Linked DNA regions of Drosophila melanogaster. The protein of the gene in region 1 purifies or fractionates together with the protein of each later gene. This does not show direct contact. Each region holds a gene or a part of one and is shown on either strand. Other genes may lie near its edges. The genes, in order: Sec5, Exo84 and Sec6.

Evidence for each region.
Region 2: the proteins of Sec5 (region 1) and Exo84 purify together in Drosophila melanogaster (affinity purification with western blotting; one study listed by BioGRID). This does not show direct contact.
Region 3: the proteins of Sec5 (region 1) and Sec6 purify together in Drosophila melanogaster (affinity purification with western blotting; 2 studies listed by BioGRID, with this or other methods). This does not show direct contact.

What each region holds. Positions count from the first base shown.
Region 1 is NT_033779.5:3,455,661-3,462,387, forward strand, and holds Sec5 (secretory 5), read left to right. Parts: upstream 1-1,641; 5' UTR 1,642-1,745; coding exon 1,746-1,854; intron 1,855-1,924; coding exon 1,925-2,539; intron 2,540-2,593; coding exon 2,594-4,415; intron 4,416-4,472; coding exon 4,473-4,611; 3' UTR 4,612-4,707; downstream 4,708-6,727. Other genes in the region: Cog3 (component of oligomeric golgi complex 3), read right to left, coding at 1-43, 97-584, 642-1,154, 1,211-1,375; CG3246 (uncharacterized protein), read right to left, coding at 4,734-5,720, 5,778-6,046, 6,110-6,191. UniProt on the Drosophila melanogaster protein: Component of the exocyst complex involved in the docking of exocytic vesicles with fusion sites on the plasma membrane.
Region 2 is NT_033777.3:26,048,578-26,054,897, reverse strand, and holds Exo84 (exocyst 84), read left to right. Parts: upstream 1-2,640; 5' UTR 2,641-2,668; coding exon 2,669-2,708; intron 2,709-2,768; coding exon 2,769-2,927; intron 2,928-2,980; coding exon 2,981-3,311; intron 3,312-3,365; coding exon 3,366-4,138; intron 4,139-4,197; coding exon 4,198-4,727; intron 4,728-4,782; coding exon 4,783-4,968; 3' UTR 4,969-5,167; downstream 5,168-6,320. Other genes in the region: Cmpk (Cytidine/uridine monophosphate kinase 1), read left to right, coding at 1-323; Vps2 (vacuolar protein sorting 2), read right to left, coding at 1,151-1,608, 1,669-1,981; gro (groucho), read right to left, coding at 6,293-6,320.
Region 3 is NT_033778.4:18,622,297-18,628,623, forward strand, and holds Sec6 (secretory 6), read left to right. Parts: upstream 1-2,952; 5' UTR 2,953-3,046; coding exon 3,047-4,018; intron 4,019-4,083; coding exon 4,084-5,328; 3' UTR 5,329-5,422; downstream 5,423-6,327. Other genes in the region: Atg7 (Autophagy-related 7), read right to left, coding at 709-873, 934-1,281, 1,343-1,487, 1,619-1,831, 1,889-2,410, 2,467-2,663; CG5335 (uncharacterized protein), read left to right, coding at 1-292, 349-634; Cth (cystathionine gamma-lyase), read left to right, coding at 5,699-6,327. UniProt on the Drosophila melanogaster protein: Component of the exocyst complex involved in the docking of exocytic vesicles with fusion sites on the plasma membrane.

The DNA.
Region 1 (6,727 bases):
CATGGTGTCATAGAGAATGGTGCACAGACCCTCCAGATAAACCCTGTGGGAAAAATGAGATCAATCCTATTTTCCAACTAGATGTACGAGTATTACGTCAGGTGTGGCGCTCCTGTGCTGAAGAACTGGTAGAACAAACGCTGTTCGTCCTGGCAAACATGCACCAAAAAGGCGCAGGCGCTTCGGGTGAGAGAGCAGTGATCCCCTTTGTGGGCCACCTTAACGTTTTGTATGGACAGATTCACTGCTGGCGACATAACGCTGGCTCTTTGCGCCAAGTAGTGCTGTTGAAGATCCGCCATTAGTTGGGCGTAGTCGAGGCTGTGTTCCGACCGGGACTCAATCAACTGGGCGACCCGCTTCACTTTTGCCGCGGCCGTTTGATATTTGCCGTAGTACAGAGCGAATGCGGCATCTGGTGCCTTGAGAGCAGCGGAGGCATCCGGCATATTGTTCTTGGGATGGAGCGTGGCCTCGGTTGCCTGGTTTATCACACTCGTCACATAGTTACGCACCAGACCCGAGGCTTTGGCCAGGCACTGCCTGTACTTCACATTGTAGGCGGCCGCATCCTTGAATTTGGGCTGTGACAATGAAGGATATTAGTATATACATGACCGAAGTGTAACAGACAAGCTCACATTCTCCTCGATGTAGTTTAGGCATTCGTCGATCTTGTTGAGGCACTCCCGGAACGCTTCGCTAGCCACCGAAAGCGTGGGGCTCTGAAGTCGTTGGTTGAGCAACTCCACCTGGCTGAAGTAGTGCAGACGGCGTTGAATCTCGTGACTCAGCTCCTGCAGTCGCTCCTGCTCCTCGATCAACTGCTCGCTGGCCGTGTTCAGAGCGCTGGTCTTTTGCGACACAAAGTCGTACTCGTCGCAGAGGGCACCCAGGCGCTCCATGGCCCCAGCGATCTGGTCCAGCATGTGGGAGCACTCCGCTTTGCGCTGCTCCAGCTGCTGCAGGTATTTGTGGTAGTCGGCATCGCCACGTTGCTCGATCTCGGCGCTGACGTCCGCGAACCAAAGCAGAAACTCATTGGTGTTCTGGAGTCCCTCCGCAGGTAGTCTGATGTCATCGCCGCTTTGCGAAGTTGCAGCTGCCGATGAATCGGTAGGACCCACCTGGGTGGGCGTAGTCGGTGCCGGTGCCTACAAAGAGTCGGGTTGCAATTATACGATTGCCATTCGAGGAGGAGTCGACTCACCGATGGTCCGCTGTCGCGCCACAGATTGGTCAGGACGTCCAGGTGCTCCTCTTGCTGGATACTCAGAGCCGCCAGCGGGTCCGTTTTGGACTCCCATTGCATCAGGCGATTGCGAATCTTGCGCAAATTCTCATTCTCGCTCTGAATTCGTTCGACGTCATCCATTTTTCTGCGGCGGATTTGGAAACAATCAATCAGCTGTTCAGAGATGACCGGTCTGCGCCTTCCAGTGCTGCTCAGCAAGGAGACTTAGCTAGAACTAAAACTCTTGATTGATATAAGTTGCCTTTATTTGAATGGTATCATATGTTAAGTAATCTTTAATTTTAGATTTAATACATTTTAAGCTCTTTTTATGCTCGTCCGTTTCTTACATAAGTTTTATATTAAATATCTGTCTGTTTAGCTTGGCGATTACTTAGCCAAGATTTCACCACTGACGGGACGTTTTCCATCACTGGCAGCATCAATAAAGTTCTGTTCTCTATTGTTTTTATTGCATTTTGATCAGTTTTTCCGCATCATATAGCATACGATGGCGCCGCAGCCAGTGGTTACGGGGCTATCTCCGAAGGAGGGTCCTCCTGGCACCCGCGTTATCATTCGCGGCGAGTTCCTGGGCACCCGAGTGCAAGATCTAATTGGTAGGCGTAGCCTGTCCCAAATAGCTTCTGTTTTCTGATGACTTTCCCTTCCAAAAAAAAAAAATGTAAGGTCTAAAAATCTGCGGTTCAGATTGTCTGCTGTCGGCGGAGTGGAAATCACCCAATAAAATCATCGCACGCACTGGTCCGGCGAAGGGAAAAGGCGATATCATAGTGACCACTTTAAGCGGCGGAGTGGGCACGTCCACGGTTCAGTTTCGTGCATACCACGAGACCATTGGCCCGCTCAAGGAGTCCGCCGTGTGGATCGAGGAGTCGCCCTCGCAGAATTTTGCCTGGGGTCGGCGCACCCTAGCCCAATCCGGACTGACGCAGGAGGATCCACTTGGGCTGTCCATCGAGGGTAACGAGCAGAAGATCCCCGAGGACCTCCGCGATCTCTTTCCCGAAGCCTGCGGGGATCTGTCGCAGGAGCACTTCTCCCCGGCCTGGTTCCTGCTTGAAAATCACCTGGCCACCTCCTTCGAGGATCTCAAGGCGGGCCTGTCCTACTTGAAGCGGAAAGTGGAGAGCCAGAAGGAAGGTCAGTTGTCCTTCCTCAAGTCCAATGCAGGCTCGGTGATTGACCAGCTCGATACGCTGATGAACATCCGAGACAAGCTGCAGGAGGATGTCAAGCTACACGGCAATGAGACCCTAAATATCTTGGAAACATCCATAGAGAGTGAGTGGGGTTTATAGATTAAGATATTTAATTCTAAAATTGTTCGACTTATAGACTCCATTAGCGAATCGCAAAAGATATTCACGGATGTGCTGGTGCGCAAAGAGAAGGCGGATTCCACGCGGTCCGTTCTGTTCGCCCTGTCGCGGCACAAGTTCCTCTTCTGTCTGCCCAATTCGGTGGACAGACGTGCCAAGGCGGGTGAATATGACATTGTGGTTAACGACTACTCGCGCGCCAAGAACCTCTTTGGCAAGACGGAGATTCCCATTTTCCGCAAGGTGCTCGAGGAGGTCGACCACAGGATTCTGTCAATAAGGAAACAACTGCACGAGAAGGTGGTCAAGATGCCACAGAGCGTGGAGCAACAGAAGAAGCTCATCAAGGCGCTGATCAGTCTGGAACTGCAGCAGAGCGGAACTCCCATTGGCGATAAACTGCGCAACATCGATCCCGCCTGGGATGCCATCGAGGCCAGAGCCAAATATCTGGAGTGGACATTTCGCCAGACATTTGATCAGCACACCAGCAAGGATTCGGGTGCCCAGGAAAAGGCAAAGAACAGGGATTCCAGCCAGGCGCCCAATCGGGTTAACTTCTGCGAAGAACTGTGCGACATTGCCGCCTCCCAGCTGCCGGACTTGTGGCGTCTGGGCCAGCTATACTTCACCGGCGAGCTACGCGGACCTCATGATCCCAAGCCAGGGGATTTCAAGCGAATGGTTTTGAACGCCATCGAGAAGTTCTGTGTCTACTTGAGGTTGGCCATTCTCATTGCCACGGATCAGCGCGCCCTGCGTCAGTCCAGCGGCTTGGCTTGGCCCATCGGCTCCGCATCGGCAACACATCAGTTTCTACCCTGGATTCCGCAGTGCCTGCGTTTCACGAGGATAGCCTATGCCACGCTCATCAGCCTGGATCTGCCCTCGGAAGCGCTGGACATCATACAGAAACTGATCGATGAGGTGCGACTTTTCTGCTTCTCAATTATCTTCAAACGGGCCACGGATCGGTGCAAAAAGCTGGGCAGCCAGGAGACCTGGGAACTGGGCGTGGAGGAATATCCAGGTGCCACATTGTTACCCGCCGCCTTGGAAACATTGCTCATCGAAACGCTGGACGAGGTGCAATCTGTGTGCATGCAAAGGGAGACCCGGGAGGGCAATCTCCTCGAGCCGCAGTCGGATGGACAGAGAGAGGTGACACAGCGACTACAAGAATTCCTATCCGCGTTTAGCGCGGTGATCGAGGAGCTGGCCTTCCACTCCCACGACGAGGAGACGCCCACCCACAATGTGTCGCAGCTACTTGGATTCCCCAATGCCCAGCAGCCAGATTCGGTGGCTGGAAGCGGCGGAGCAGCGGCTGTGACCTGGGAGCAGCGCATGCTCTGTTGCCTGGCCAACTATGCGTACTGCAACAAGATCTTCTTCCCGCGCCTTGGTGACATCTTCGTTCGCTACGGTTACCCGCTGCCCACGCTGGCAATCGAAACTGCTCGCTACACGGTTAACCAGCTCTTTACCAATCTTCTGGAGGAGTACGTCGAGCATAAGGGCGATCCGCTGGTCGGCACCATCGAGCCCTCCATGTATCTGGGTCGTTTCCAGTGGGATCACGAGATGGAGATCGGCCAGCTGCGTCCTTACGCTCACGAGTGCTGCGATAATTTGGTTGGTGTCTACTCCGAGATCTACAGCATTTCACCGGCACTGCTGCGACCCATCCTGGAGTCCATTGTGCAAACCATATCCGAAGAGCTGGCCCGTCTGATGAGCTGTGTCCAGCGCTTTAGCTTCACGGGAGCGATTCAGGCCCACGTGGATATCCGTCTATTGAGGGACTCCCTGGAAGGTTACGTCAATGAGACTGCCAAGTGAGTGATCTAAATGAAATACCTATGAATTTCAATAATTCTTCTAATCTGCAAAAGGAACTACTTCATGGAAGCGCTGGAGGCCATCAATCCGCCCCTGAGTGGCGAGCAGAAGCGTAAGGCGGACGAGATTCTGGAGCGGGTCAAGCGGAACATGCGTCTGCAGCTGCTCTGCTTCAGTGTCAAGGACCCCTAGGCACATTCCACTGCAGGGCGCAGCCCATGTAGATAGCGTATACTTTAAGTAGCTTGTGATTACCCATGTTCTAGGGATAAATCTTTATTCGATTGCATAACTCTCTTACTTACTACCACGACTCACAAGCCCAACAGCTTTGGGTCAAAGTTGAAGTTGTTCTGAGCCATGGTCTTGATGACCTGCTCCACATCGATGGTGTTGAACTTCTCCTGCACACGCTGCTTGATGGGGTTCTCGATGGCGTCCATGATCTGGTAGCGCAGCAGGTTGGGAATGACGTTCACCGCAAACTCCATGACGTAGTCCAGCGTTCCCGCTCCGTCACATCGCACCTGTATGTTGCCCATGTCAAACTGCAGATCGGTGATCTGCGCCCGCTTGCGTGTGTCCAGGGATTGGCTCAGGCCAACGGTGGCGCGTATGTGCTGAACCGTAAATTGTACGTGACCGACGCGTGTCATCATGCCCACACCCACCTCCCACTGGCCGGCTCCCGTCACCTGCTGGGTGCCTATTTGCAGAACGACCGACACCGTTTTGTTGGCCATGCCAGCGGTTATGTTGCCCACGCGGTAGAAGCTAGAGATTCCATTGATCCAGGTGTGTGCTAACTGGACACTGAACACGCCCATGGTGCGATTGACATCAGGCAGGTGGTACGGATCGAAGCCCTTCTGCCGAACCATCTTGCGTGCCATGGCAATGGCGCTGTCCAGCGGCGTTATGGAATTGGGCAGTCGGCGTTCGCCCAAGGTTTTCTGGATCATTACGTTGATCTCGCTGCGCAGCTTTTTGTCCGCCTCCTGGAGCATAAATGGCTTCATGGCGTCGAAGACCAAGTTGGGCGCACCGTTCACCACGCTCTGAAAGACACTGCCCACCAGGCCGAGGTTCTGGAAGTCCATTGTCATGTCCGAGAATGTGATGTCGATCTTGATGCGGTCCGTGGCCAGCTGACCGTCTCGTTCGACGGCCAAGAAGGCGGTTGCCTCGGCATAGACATTCTTCAGGACTACTGTAAAGGGTCCATTGGCTTTCGAAAAGAATGAACTGAGGGTGTACTGGCCCTTGACCAGCATCTGGTCCAGCTGGAGGCCACCGTTGAACTGCAGGACAGAGGAGTGGAAACTTCAAGCCAATTCGAATTCAACTTGAAAACTTACTCTCATTTCCTTCAGGTCTAGGTTCATTTTATCAATGCGGAACTTGGACAAGCCATACGCCTTGACCTGCTTCATGTCCAGATTGGCCATGCCCATGCTCTTCTTCACATTGGGCACCTCCAACGGATCGGGCACGGGCACGCCGGGCAGACCCTGCGGATCCTCCTGCTGAAAGTGCACGAGCATGGCCTCCACCTGGGCGGCTATGCTGGCCTGACTCTCTTTGATCTTAAGTGCGTCATCCGACTCGCTGGCTTCCTGCTCCACAGCTGCTCAAAGGTCATTAATGAGTGGCTTAGTTCCGGTAGAGCTCAGACTGGAATTCGTCTTACCATCGCCAGGCTCCTGGGAGTGAACAATGTGGCAGCCACTTGCCATCAGGCCCACGAGCACGACCACTATCAACGGCTTCATCTTTCGGGGATTAGCTGGAGCTTCTGCTTATCAGTTGGAAAATGGAAGAAAACGCGCCAGCCTCCGTTCTCTACTCGGAACAAACACGCACTGTCGACTGGCGCGTTAATCAAAAGATAATGATGAGCCGCAGGCGGCGATCCGCTTATCTAAGGGCGACTCTGCTCGCGGAGCTGCTGATTAAACTCGGAATTGAGATTGAGTGACTTAAGTGAGCGGAAGCGGCCAGCACATTGTAGGCACTCATGGAACTCACTCCACTCCCAGGAACGATGTTCTAGAAATCATGAACTAGCAGCTTGCATGAGGCAAAGAGTGTTACGGTTCGAAAACGGTTTTGAAACCCAAAGAAAATCGCGCATTTTTCTGTAGTAGCAATGCTCATTTTTATTTGAATATTTTAATAGTTATATGTTCGCATATATAATATGGGTATATATGGCTTACTTGAATTGTTGTTCTTAATCCTAGGTTCACGTGCTCAAAAAAATTCATGCTCAAAAAAAGTCTTAGCCTATTCAAAAAAATGTCTTAGC
Region 2 (6,320 bases), on another chromosome or scaffold:
ACGGCTTCCCACGCAATCAGGATAATCTGGACGGTTGGAACCGCCAGATGTCCGAGAAGGTGGACTTCCAGTTTGTCCTCTTCTTCGACTGCGGCGAGGATGTGTGCGTCAAACGGTGTCTGGGCCGCGGCCAGAGCGGCTCTGGCCGGACGGACGACAACCTGGACAGCCTGAAGAAGCGCATCTCGACATACAACAACGACTCGCTGCCCATCATCAAGTTCTTCGAGGGCGCCGGCCAGGTGAAACGGATCGATGCCAGTCCGGATGCGGAAGAGGTGTTCGGGGAGGTGGAAAAGATATTTGTGGCCAGCGGCTTCTAGATTTCCTGTTCATATTCCGGTTATGTGTGTAGTGCTATCCTTACCTTTCATTTGTACCCTCTAAAAAAATACATATATACGCTTGTTAATAGTAATGCATAAGGTACTTTTTCTTCACCCCGATAAGATACAAGATACACATGAAGTTTAGTATACCCAATCAAGGAAAGCGGAGGTACACACACACTTTTTAATATCGAGTAAAAAATGGAGCTAGGCAAAAGTTATTCTGGAATTATATGTTATCTAAAGCAAATGGATTGAGAACTATTTTAAATGTAGGAACGTTAAAGAGCAATAAACAATAAATTAAATCCCCTGTTCATATTATGACATTTAAAACAAGTTTTCTTATTTATACAAGTGCTATGTGATTTTCATTTTTCAAGTGTTTTACATATTTCTATAGTACCCAATAGTACAAATTTAGGAAAGTACTTCTTTTTATTCAGATAAACACAATTTTGCATTTATAGTTAAAGCTGAATATATGTATATACATATATATATAATTTCATGATTTGGAAATTCCTTTTTCTTATTTTATTGAAGACAGGCATGAAACGTACATATCTTTTAAAATACCGAATATTGTATAGCTCTAAAGTAACAAGTATTGCGAATTTGTTTGTAGCTAGGCTGTGCGATTGCAGCACTACCCAGTTCTTTCCATTATAGCTTGTAAATGCTAATTACTCATCGATTTTTCAAACACGCAGGGAACGAAAATCACAAGCATTCTCTTTAATATAACATTCGCTTCTGGGAGATACAAACGGGTGGTGGCTCTTACATAAAGTGGACAGGCAGTGGTTCTTAGTAGCGGCTCAATCCTTGCGCAGCTTATCCAGGCGCGCCTGAAGATCCGCATCGGCATCGGACATGGGCGATGAGGCACCACTGCCACCGGGAGCTCCCGGACCACCAGCGCCGCCACCACTAGCTCCACCTCCGCCGGCGGCTCCACCGCCGCCAACGCCACCAGCGGCCACAGCCTGTGCTTTCTGAGCGCCAGCGCCGCCGGCTATGGAAAGGGAACCGGAGGCGGAAGGAAGGTCTCCCAGCTGTTCGCCCAATTGCAGACCCAGTTCGTCCAGCACCTGGGACACAACAGCATCCGTCTCCTCCTCGTCGCCCTCGTCCTCCATGGCGTCATCGATGGCATCGTTGATCATCTCCTCCTTCATGTCCATCATTTCCGACTGTTTCTCGAAGTCCTGCAGGATCTTCTGGATTTGCGGGAGATTCAGCTGGCGGTTCATGTTCTGCATGGCCTTCGTGACACCTGGAAGATAAGCATAATTGCTTGATAAGCGGGTGAATCAGCCAAATAGCCAATGTTTACCTTTCATGGCCTGTGCCATTGTGTTCTGCGACTTGAGCGTCTGAATTTTGAGGGACACCGCCTGGATGTTTGCCTTCATCAGCATGAACTTCTTGGCATACCGCCGCGTGCGCACCAGATCCTTGGCCATGATCTTCACGGCATCCATTTGACCCTCCTTGGCCATCTTCTTGATATCCGCGATAATCTTCTTCTCCTGCTGCTCCATTTTCATCCGCTCGCGGTCCAGATCTCGCATCGCTTTGTTGAGCGCCCGCTGATTCTTACGCAGCATCTCATCGGGGCTGATCTTCTTGCCGAATAGCCAGTCCATGTTTAAGGATATCTTAACTGCAAGATTTAATTACGAAGAATGACGGAGTTTCCTAAAGATTACTCATCAACCAAAACAATAAGCGAAGGGTGTGCGCGATTCTAAGGTGGCCAAGACGTGTTGGCGCTTACATGCGAATAGTGCTAGTGGGAAGAAGAAGCTTTGCCGGTGCACTCTGAAAGAACTGTTCACACTTCAACTTAGTGAATTAGCAACAGGTGGAAAATAATTTTAATTTATTACAATACAACACACACACATTGTAATGAATAGTATACATATAGACATATGTCTTCTTGATTTTTAACGTAGATCTTTGACGTAGTCGTTTATATTTAAAAGTTCAGTTCGAATAAAAAGTATTCAGGGCTTCAACGCCTAATCATACCTAAGATGAAAATCCGAAATGTAAATGCGAATAAATTTGTTGATCTCTAAAAGGTCTTTGACGTAGCCGTTCAGTTCGAATAAAACTTTTCATAGGTTTTAAATCTTAATTAATCTCCTATTACTTAAAACTAAATAAAAATGTTCTAGATTTATAGATTTATCTAATACCAGGGAAAACTGCAGTGAAAACATGGCATTTTCTATAGCATCAGCAACCTTACAATCGACACCTCATGATGACGCTCGTTCGTTGTGAATGGCTCTGCGTCAGCTGCAGTTTACATTCCAATCAGAATCATGAAGGAGTTCGACGATTTTAATTTTAGCGTTGAGAAATGTAAGTATTCCTATGTCTATTTAGCATTAATCAGTCTACTAATAAGTACAACGTTCCCAGATACCAAGGACCTGACACGAGAATGTGTGGGTGGCAGCGATTTGCAGCAGCGAAAAAAGGAAATCGAGGCCTACAACGAAACGACGGCAGCAACGCTCAAGCAAACATGCAAAAAGAACTATATGGAGTTTATACAGACGGCCAAGGAGATATCACGTAGTTTACGCCCCCCAATATCAATATACATTTATGTTAATATTTTCGCATCGCAGATCTCGAGTCGGAAATGTATCAACTGTCGCACATTCTGATTGAGCAGCGCAATATTCTGGCCACCATGACGGATGGCAAGACTTCCAGTCACCTGAAGGCAGAGAGTTTGGAGGCGGAGAGCACTACGGCGACGGAGGATCTGGAGAATAGCCATGCCACGCGGGCGGTCAAGGAAATGGTCCAGGGCTTCAATGGCAATCTGGAAGGCAAGACCTTCCTCAACGAGGGAGCTCTAATCGAGTTGGACAGTAATGATTATCGACCCATTCAAAGGGTCTTCTTTTTCCTCTTCAACGATGTACTGATTGTCTGCAAAGTGAAGCATGATAAGTAGGTTTTCCTATACTAAAGCATATAGCAAAAACTAATAGTAATATTTTTCAGGCGCTTGGATTTCCTCACCGAGTACGACCCCAAGAAAATAGCCGTGATTAACATTAAGGACTTGGATGGCGTTAAGAATGCCATTAATATCATTACTCCAGATGGTTCCAAGATCTATCAAAGCATCACGGCTGCTGGGAAGACGGAGTGGATAGAGAAGCTCGAAGAGGCCTTCCGCTTTGACCAGCAAAAGAAACCAAAAAAGGGCCAGGCGCCACAGCCTCCAACTCGGGCCAAACAGCAGTCAAAAGCTTCGACTCCGGAGAAGGAAACCACACCCCAGAGTCCCGGACAGCCCAAATCCCTGGAGGATGAGACGCCCGAGTGGCTAAGCACGGCCAGTGAAGAGATTCAGACCCTGGTGGCCCAACGGCATTTCGAGGATGCCCAGGAGCTGATAAAGCGAACCCAGGACTTCTTGCGAAACGAGAACCGAAAGAAGTTGCCACTAGCGGACGCCATTGAAACCAAGGTGAAGCAGCAGGAGCTGAAGCTGATCAATGTGCTGCTCAAGGAGTTGTCCAACAGTCACAATCGCAATCTGCAGATCGCTCTGAGAGCAGCCAAGCGGCCTCTGAAGATTCTCGTAGAGATGGGTCGCTATCGGCAGGCGAGTGCCACTCTGCTGAAGGTCTGCGCCGTCAGTTTGCGGGTGGCGCAACGGGAGGCGCGCAGGAATAATGCGGATATATCGGAACTCTTCTTTTGTGACCTGACGCAGGTGGCCTGTGATTTTCTCACCGCCTTTGAGAAGCAACCGGCGTGCGTTAGCGGTAAGCTTCATTCCTATTTCTGTCTACATTTAAGTATTACTACTATCTAATTCTTGCAGCGCTCGTGGTTTGGTGCAATGCGGAGCTGCAATATTTTGCCAGCCAACTGATAAAGCATTACCTGACCAAGGGAACCTCCCTGGAGTCAGTGGCCAAATGTGTGGAGCGAGTGCGCAAGCCCTCGACAAAGCTCACAGAGATCGGGCTGGACATTAGTTATCATTTGGAAGGTCTGTTGCGCACTACACTCGAGTCGCTCATAGAGGAATCCAAGGAGCGACTGCTGGACTCCGTGGGTCGCACCGAGGAGAGCTGGCAGCCGTACAATTTGCAGACCAAGTCGAACCTGAAGCGTCTGCTCCTGGAGCTCGATGTCTTGGGTATCGATGTGCGAGCCCAGGCGACGGGCGACACATGGATTAATCTCACCCAGTCGACAGTGGTTTTCATCAGACACTTCCTGCAGCTCACCGAGTACTGCGGCTGTCTGGCCAAGTGCGAAACCCTGCTGCAGAGCCTGGAACTGCTTCTTAAGGAGCTGTTCATTGCCCAGCATTCGTTGAAACCGCCCAGCGACATGGCCGTGGATGTAAGTTAGAAAGCAGCTTAAATAAAACCGCTCTCTTCAAGAATGCCATTTTCAGCCCAACTTTGTAATGAAGAACAAGATTTTTCTGGTGGACAACCTGCTGCCCATCGCCATCGACAAGTTTCGACAGATTTCTGGACGCCAGTGCGAGGGATTGCGCGAGTTGCACACGAAAATGTCCCGCCAGCAAGGTGCTCCAGTGCCGCGCCAGCGCAGCGTCTACACCACAGATGTGTTTTAGATGCACGCCGTGGGATTTACTTTCGATTACATATAATTTTTTATTTTTTCGTTTTGCTTCAATTATTTATAATATAATTATATACATATATAACCACAATAATAATAATATTTGTAAAATTAAAAATCGAAGCGTGTGCTGCACTCTATCTCTTGCTTATTACAATTTCGCCGCTCGCATTATATATATAATTGTAAATATATATAAATCGATTCGTTTTCTGTTTTTCATATATATACTCTAAACACTAAACAATTTAGCTGTGTTCTACTTTTCGGTTTCGGTTGTTGATGCGGCTCTCTCTGTGTTGGGTTTAGCTGCTCAAAATATAGGATTTTACACTTGGTTCTGAAGAGTTGAGTTTGATTCACACAATTAATTCCTCGATTTTCTCATTACACATTTTCTCAAATTACATACAAGCAAAGCGGACTGCTCTGAGCTTCTAACTACTGACCCCCAATGCGAGTGAGTGTTTCGAAAGTGGTTTCCGTGTTTAATTTATAATGTAAAACTCTTAACTAAAATGCTTACTAAGTATATTCATTTATAATTATATATATATATATATATATATACCTTTTATGCAAATGTGTTTTGTGTTTTTCGTATGTTGTGTTTGTGTGTGTGTGGTGTGTGTTTGGAGGGACGTTGGGAGGTAAGGAAACTGACAACTTAAAATTACATTTGTTGTTGCATTCGCTGTCTGACTTTTCAGCTAAATTACAAAAACCGCTCACATAAAACAAACTAAAAGCACTCGCATCGTATTTGTATTTAACTCCTTTTGTTCAGCTGGTAATCATAATCTCAACGCTCCTGCAATTGCAATGACTGACTAATTCCACTTATCCTCCTATTTGTTTTTATGTTAAGATGAACGTAGGTAGGTATCGCCGACTTTTTATGTTTCTGTTTCCGGTTTCATTTTGTTAATTTTACAACATACTCGTTTCTGTTGCTCGCATGCATTATCATTTTATTTCGCTCTGGTTCTCATTTTACTTGAATTCTTCTTTACTTGCAATTTGTGTGTTCAACTTGTTGGTTTGTTTTTATTTATTGGACTTAGCTTAGGCTTAGTAGCTACAAGTACGCTTAAAATTTTAGTTTTCCTTTTTCTTGTATATATATTATAGAATTTTCATTTTTGCTTCGCTTTTTGATGCGTTGCTACTGCCGCCTTTCTGCTTTTCTTTTTTTGTTTTACTGCCGATGCTGCTGCTGTTGTTTTTGTTGTTGTTATTTGCATGATTTCGAACATGTTGTAATAAAAACTATACGAGCTTATTACAAAATGAAAAAACTGCATGGTTTTGTGGATTTAATAAATAACTTCGTAGACAGTAGCC
Region 3 (6,327 bases), on another chromosome or scaffold:
TGGAGATCCGTGATCAGATCCAAGTCATTAAACAGGTGGATCATCGTACTGTGTTTCCAAATCCGTGGCCAGCCGTTCACGCCTCGGACTACTTTAAGGCGTTCAGTAACGATCAGCCAATTTTGTTTAGTCCGGGCCATGTGATTGTCCTTACAGCTCGGTGTTTCGAGAATAAAAAGGGACAGTTCATAATCAAGTTCATGGACTCGGATACCAAGCGCGAAGAGCTACACTTCAGTGTGCGTTTCGATGAGAAGGCAGTAGTGCGCAATTCCATGAACAAAAATTTTGAGTAAGTTAACTTTATAATGCCGTACCTCTTTGGGCGTTAACTAATTCTTTTTATAGATTCGGAAGCGAGGAGCGTCATGGAGGTTTCCCCTTCGTCTTTAACCAGCAATTCAAGCTGGCGCTTGCGTTTACGGAACGCGAGGTTTTGACTGCAGTGGACGGTTATAACTTCTTCAGCTACACCTGGCGCACACCTAATGCCATGATGAATCTAGTGGGTTTCAAGGTGACCAGCATAAATGGCCTGGTAGTGCAGATAACTGGTGTGGATCACCTGCAGACGGGGGATCCTACGTGCGCTGGCTTCGAAAAATATTCCCGCCATGATTACGAATGCGTTTAGTAACCATGTTAACCCAACTAATGAAGTCTGAAAATACAAATGTTATCTTAAACTATACAACAAATGGGACTTACATTTCCAGGGGCCGTAACATCGTTACAAAAGTAGCAACCTAATTGATCGCCATTAATGCACTTAAGTCCTTCGATTTCTTGGCCATCGTCGCCTGCTTCCTTACGCGTAGTGCCATGTCGCATTACCAGATAACTGTCAAAGCCTAAAGCTGCGTTGATGACAATCTATAAGGGAAACATTTTAGGTACATCTCTTCTGAAAGGTGAGTATATGATTGTTCCCACTTTTTCCTTTGCCGCTCCAAGCAGGGTGGGCAGCCAGCGGCTTTCGCGCGAATCTGTGAGCAGAAAGATGACATCATGGTCCTGCACAAGCTTTTCGATAACCTTCAAATGCTCCTTCGTCTGGGCTAGAAGCGATTCTCCAATAGTATGCCCAGGCATGGGAATCTCCAGCACATAACCCGCCGTTTCCGCAGACGGATTGATCTCTTTCAATCTCTGAGCAGCTGTAGTCGCCTTCATCCGATTGCCTGCCACAGCATCTGCATGCGTGTAGAGATTCTGACGCACTGGATTAGAGAACCCAACCTTGCCGCTGTCCAAAAGGGTTATGTGCTTAAATCCCCAGGACTACAAAATAAATAAACTATTAGTTATCAGATCAGTTAAATCATTTCGTATAAAAGCACACCAGCAGATTTCTAGCTACAGCGCATCCTAAAGTACCAGCTCCAAAGAGCAGGCATTTTGTTTGGGAGATGATTTCGAGATTGAGATCGGGAACAAGGCGCCACTTCATTAGTTTCAGGTTCAGGTTTACAGAGTTCTCAGCGAGTCTACGGAAAGAAATATTGTTAAATTATAAATAATAAACAAGTTACTTTCAACTGTCGTGGTAGCTAACACTAAGGACACACCTCAATGAACTGATAGTTCTTATCATTTAAGTCTATAGCTATTAACTTACTTGGCTGGATCCATGCTGTCCCTCATGCACACCATTCTTGGCCCCATTTTGCCATTTTTATTTAGCTCCCAGCCCACGAACTTTATATTTTCGCTTTGGCTAAGATCGCAAGCTTCAGTCTGAATCACCTTCCATACAAGGCTGTCATCGATGTTCATTTGTTGATTGTGTCGCAGGCCAAGAAACTTCAATGGTTTTCCAACAAAAGAGGGACTGTAATAGACCGACAACTGTGTGAACTGATATCATAACATTGCTATTCCTACCTACCATTGCTGAAGCAGAAAGGCAGCATAGTTTCGCATTATCCAAGCTGGATGCTCATACTCGCTGGGATCAGCAAAACCAAAATAACAGAACTCAACATTTTTATCGTCAAGGGAACTTAAACTACGGGCTTCGAAAATGTTCTTCTCCACATTAGCATACAGAATGAAGAAGTTCTGTGACTCAGTGGGTAAGGCCTTTAGAGCCATTATATAGCTACTACTATTGGGCAAGTCCCGCAGTTTTTGGACGGCTCCCTGAAGCTTTAAGGTGGGCGTCAGCGGGCACGGAAAGGCGAACCAATAGTAGTAGCTGTGACACTTTAAATCGGCAAAGGAGAGAACAAAGAACCGGGTCAATAGACTGGGATCTCTCAAGGCGCCACCACTGCACATATCAGCCAGCAGTTCCTTGCCCTCATCGGCCAGCAGTTGTAATTTGTCCAGGGCCTTGAACTCTTCGATTGTGTTCTTATTGTAGATGGTGCCTATAGCGGAATGGCTGAATTTTGGAGGCTTTGCCATTCTGGAATGTGGGTGGTCAAGCGCTGGTTTCATCAAACTCGTAGTTTTCAAGCTCACCTGTTGTAGGCCGTGTAGTCTACTTCCAAAAGGCATCCACTTGCATTACGATTTGTGTAGTGTCCAGTAATGGAGCGTTTCGAGTCGGACAGGCGATCGTGGTCGAGCTTAAGCTCCGCTAGCTTGTGCCAGAAAGTGGGCGACACAAAAGATTCCCACGGAGCAAATTGCAAAATTATCTCTTTTTCCGTGCTCATGTTTTGCTTAGGGCGTTGTTTACGTTCAAACGTTTGGCTGCAAATTATAAACAAACAAAGCTCTCGATGGCGATAGACCAATGAGAAGATAACTTATCGATAAGTACAGTTTTCCATACTTAGGTCGAATCCTCTGTTGCTTTGGCAAACTAAAAGATATACTTTAACTTCATAATTTTTTAAGCTTGAAGAATAAAATAAAAATTTTAAGACACAATAAAACTATAATAATTTTAAGAGTAGAATATAGCTTATTGTCAAGTTACACTGTAGTTCTTGGAAGTGAGATTGTCAGCCGCACTGCTATATGGTCACACCAGCACTTCCACTGCTGACGAAGATTGACCAAAACAGAGACTGAAAGTGATCCAAATAAATTGAAGATGGATTTACAGCAGCTGGAGGAGCAGGCTCGCCAGGCAGCGCTCAAGGACATACAGAACATGTTGCAGCGACCAGGTCAACTGGAGAAGGTGGAACAATATCGCCACCGAATCGCCCGGAAGAAGGCATCCGTTGAGGCGCTCCTTAAGACCGGAATGCAAGGACAGCTGGACGGGGTCAGGGTGGGACTTAAGCAGTTGGAGACCTGCATGCAGGACGTGCGCGAGGTAAGGCGTCGAATGGACGAGGTGGAGCGCCTGCTGAGGGGCGTTCCCGAAGTCTACGACGCTTTGGAAGTTGTGCGGGAGGAAAACACAAAGCACTCCCAGTACGCCACCGCCATGGAGAATCTGAAGCACATCTTCAACGTAGATGCCAGCGTACAAAAGACGATGGCGCTGATCGAGGATGATAAGCTGCTTAATGCCCATCAGTGCCTGGCGGATCTGGAGAATTCGCGGGATGATCTTCTCTACGAACTGCACAAGCAGCCCAAGCAGCATGCGTCCGACAAGATCACCCTAAAGCGTCACTTCGAGAAGGTTGACACGGTATCCCAAGAGCTGGAGAAAAAGCTGCGACTCATTCTTAGCCGCACGCTGAACACTCTGCGCAAGAAGCCCACCATCATCGTTACCGCCCTACGCATCATAGAGCGGGAAGAGAAAAACGACCAGTTCGCGTTGCAGCAGCAAAAGGTCACAGGATTCCTGCCGCCTGGAAGACCAAAGGCTTGGCGCCGCATGATCATGGACGTGCTACAACAGTCGGTGATAACGCGCATAGAGGGATCCAAGCTAGAGGAGCGGGCCGATAACAAGATGTGGTTAGTACGAGACCTGGAGATATTGCGTCAAATCATTCTCGAGGATCTGCGCGTTGTGAAGTCCCTTTGTGTGCCCTGCTTCCCGCCGCACTACGACATTTTCGGCGAATATGTCAAGTTCTATCACGAAGGACTTTCTAGCTATGTGAGTAATCGTCAATCATTTAAATTGATTAATGTTTTTATACCACTAATATTTACTAATTCCAGCTTGACAACATTGTGCGCTCGGGCTTGGAGGGCAATGAATATGTATCAATGATGGCTTGGGTTACACACACCTATCCTGGCGTCGAGCTGATGTCCCATCCGGATCTTAATGTGGATGTACACCGACAGATAGGTACTCTGCTGCGTCCGGAACATCTCAAAGCGCTGGAAGATGAATATCTGCAAAATATGCAGAGAAACTTCCAGGAATGGATGACCAAGGCCGCAGAAACGGAGAAGCAGGAGTGGTTTACTGAGACGGTGCCCGATCAGGATGAGGAGTACTACCACACTTCAGCGCCTGTCATCATATTCCAGATGATCGACCAGCATCTGCAGGTGACCAACACAATTCATCAGGAACTGACGTTCAAGGCGTTGGTAATGAGCATTCAGCAGGTGGAGATCTTTGGCCAGACATATCTTAAGAACGTAATCGAGCTGAAGGAACACCATTTTCGCAATCGGGACCAGATCAAATACTTCACTCACTACATCATCACCATCGTGAATAACAGTCAGCAAATGGTTGAACTGGCGCAGCAGATGAAACAACTCTACTGGCCCAAGTCACGTACTGAGCATTATGAGGATTTCGAACGTTTGCTTGCCACATTCCAGCGGATCCGGGCTCATGCCGCAAGTTACTTGCTGGAGGAAGCCTTCCTGGACATGGAGTGTCACTTTAACGACCTATTCACTGCCAAGTGGCTGGCCAGTAACATTGCCGTGGACACCATTTGTGTAACGCTGGACGATTACTTCCAGGACTATAATCACCTGCGACCCAATAACTTCGAGATGGTCATCAACGAGGCCCAGAAGCTGCTGGCCAAGCGCTACATTAGGGCACTGCTATCCAAGCGACTGTCTAAGCCACGGGCCGAGTGCGATGCCATTACGCGAAAAATCAAGACCGAAGCCAAGCGGTTTAAGCTCTTCTTTGAGAAAATCGCGCCGAAGATTTCCCTCAGCGACTCTCCATTGGATCTTATATCCACGCTATCGGCACTGCTTAGCTCGGATATCGAACTGCTCGTCTTGGACCTGCACACCTTGCTGGGCAGCTATCCGTCTCTGAACGAGGACCACCTGGTACGGCTCTTTTACATTCGCAACGATGTGAAGGCGGCCGAGGTGCGCGAGAAGGTGCAGGATGCCATGAAGTCGAAGAAGGCAATGGTCAGCATCGCCAAGCAGGATTGCATCTTCAAGGAGATCGTGTTCAGCGACAAACTGTGGTAGACCTTGGAGTATAGTTCCCAACCCATTCCGCATGTCCCTTTCTGTTCAGTATCGTATTTACTCTTAAGCTGCGATTGTAATATTATTGTGCTTTATCAACAAATAAATTATTGTATAAATAATCGAAGAAGTTCTAAGGAAAGTAAGAATATCCATCGTTTCAATGCATATATGTATCGTTACTTTTGAAGGGTTCCGTTTTCTAGCCGTTTAATAGCTAGAGCTCCATCACTGTCGGCGAATGTAGTGTTGTAACGGTCGAAATATTTAATTACCGGCTAGGCGATAACATCTGGCAGGAGTATATATATTCGCGACGGTCTCTCTCCACGTGTCAGTCAGTTCCCAACGATCCTCCTACCCAGACAAGATGAGCTACAGAGTCCAGCCGAGCGGCTTCGCCACCAAGTCCATCCACTCGGGCCAGAGCCCCGACCAGTGGAAGAGTGCTGCCGTGATTCCGCCGATATCGCTGAGCACCACCTTCAAGCAAGATGCACCGGGCGAGCACAGGGGCTATGAGTACTCCCGCAGTGGAAATCCCACTAGGAACGTGCTGGAGACGTGCTTCGCCGCCTTGGATAATGCCAAATACGGCCTCACGTTCTCATCGGGATTGGGAGCCACCACCGCTGTGCTAACTATGCTGAGCAGCGGCGATCACATCATCATGGGCGACGATGTTTACGGAGGCACCAACCGTTTGATCCGACAGGTTGCCACCCGTCTGGGAATCTCAGCCACCTTTGTGGATCCCACGAAGTTGGATCTAATTAAAAGTTCCATCAAGCCGGAGACCAAGTTGGTGTGGATCGAGTCACCAACTAATCCATTGGTAAAGGTAGCCGACATCGAGGCTATTGCGCAGCTGGTCCATGGAGTACGCGAGGATATCGTCCTGGCCGTCGACAACACCTTCCTGACCTCCTACTTCCAGCGACCCTTGGAGCTGGGCGCTGATCTGGTCTGCTACTCCCTGACCAAGTACATGAACGGTCA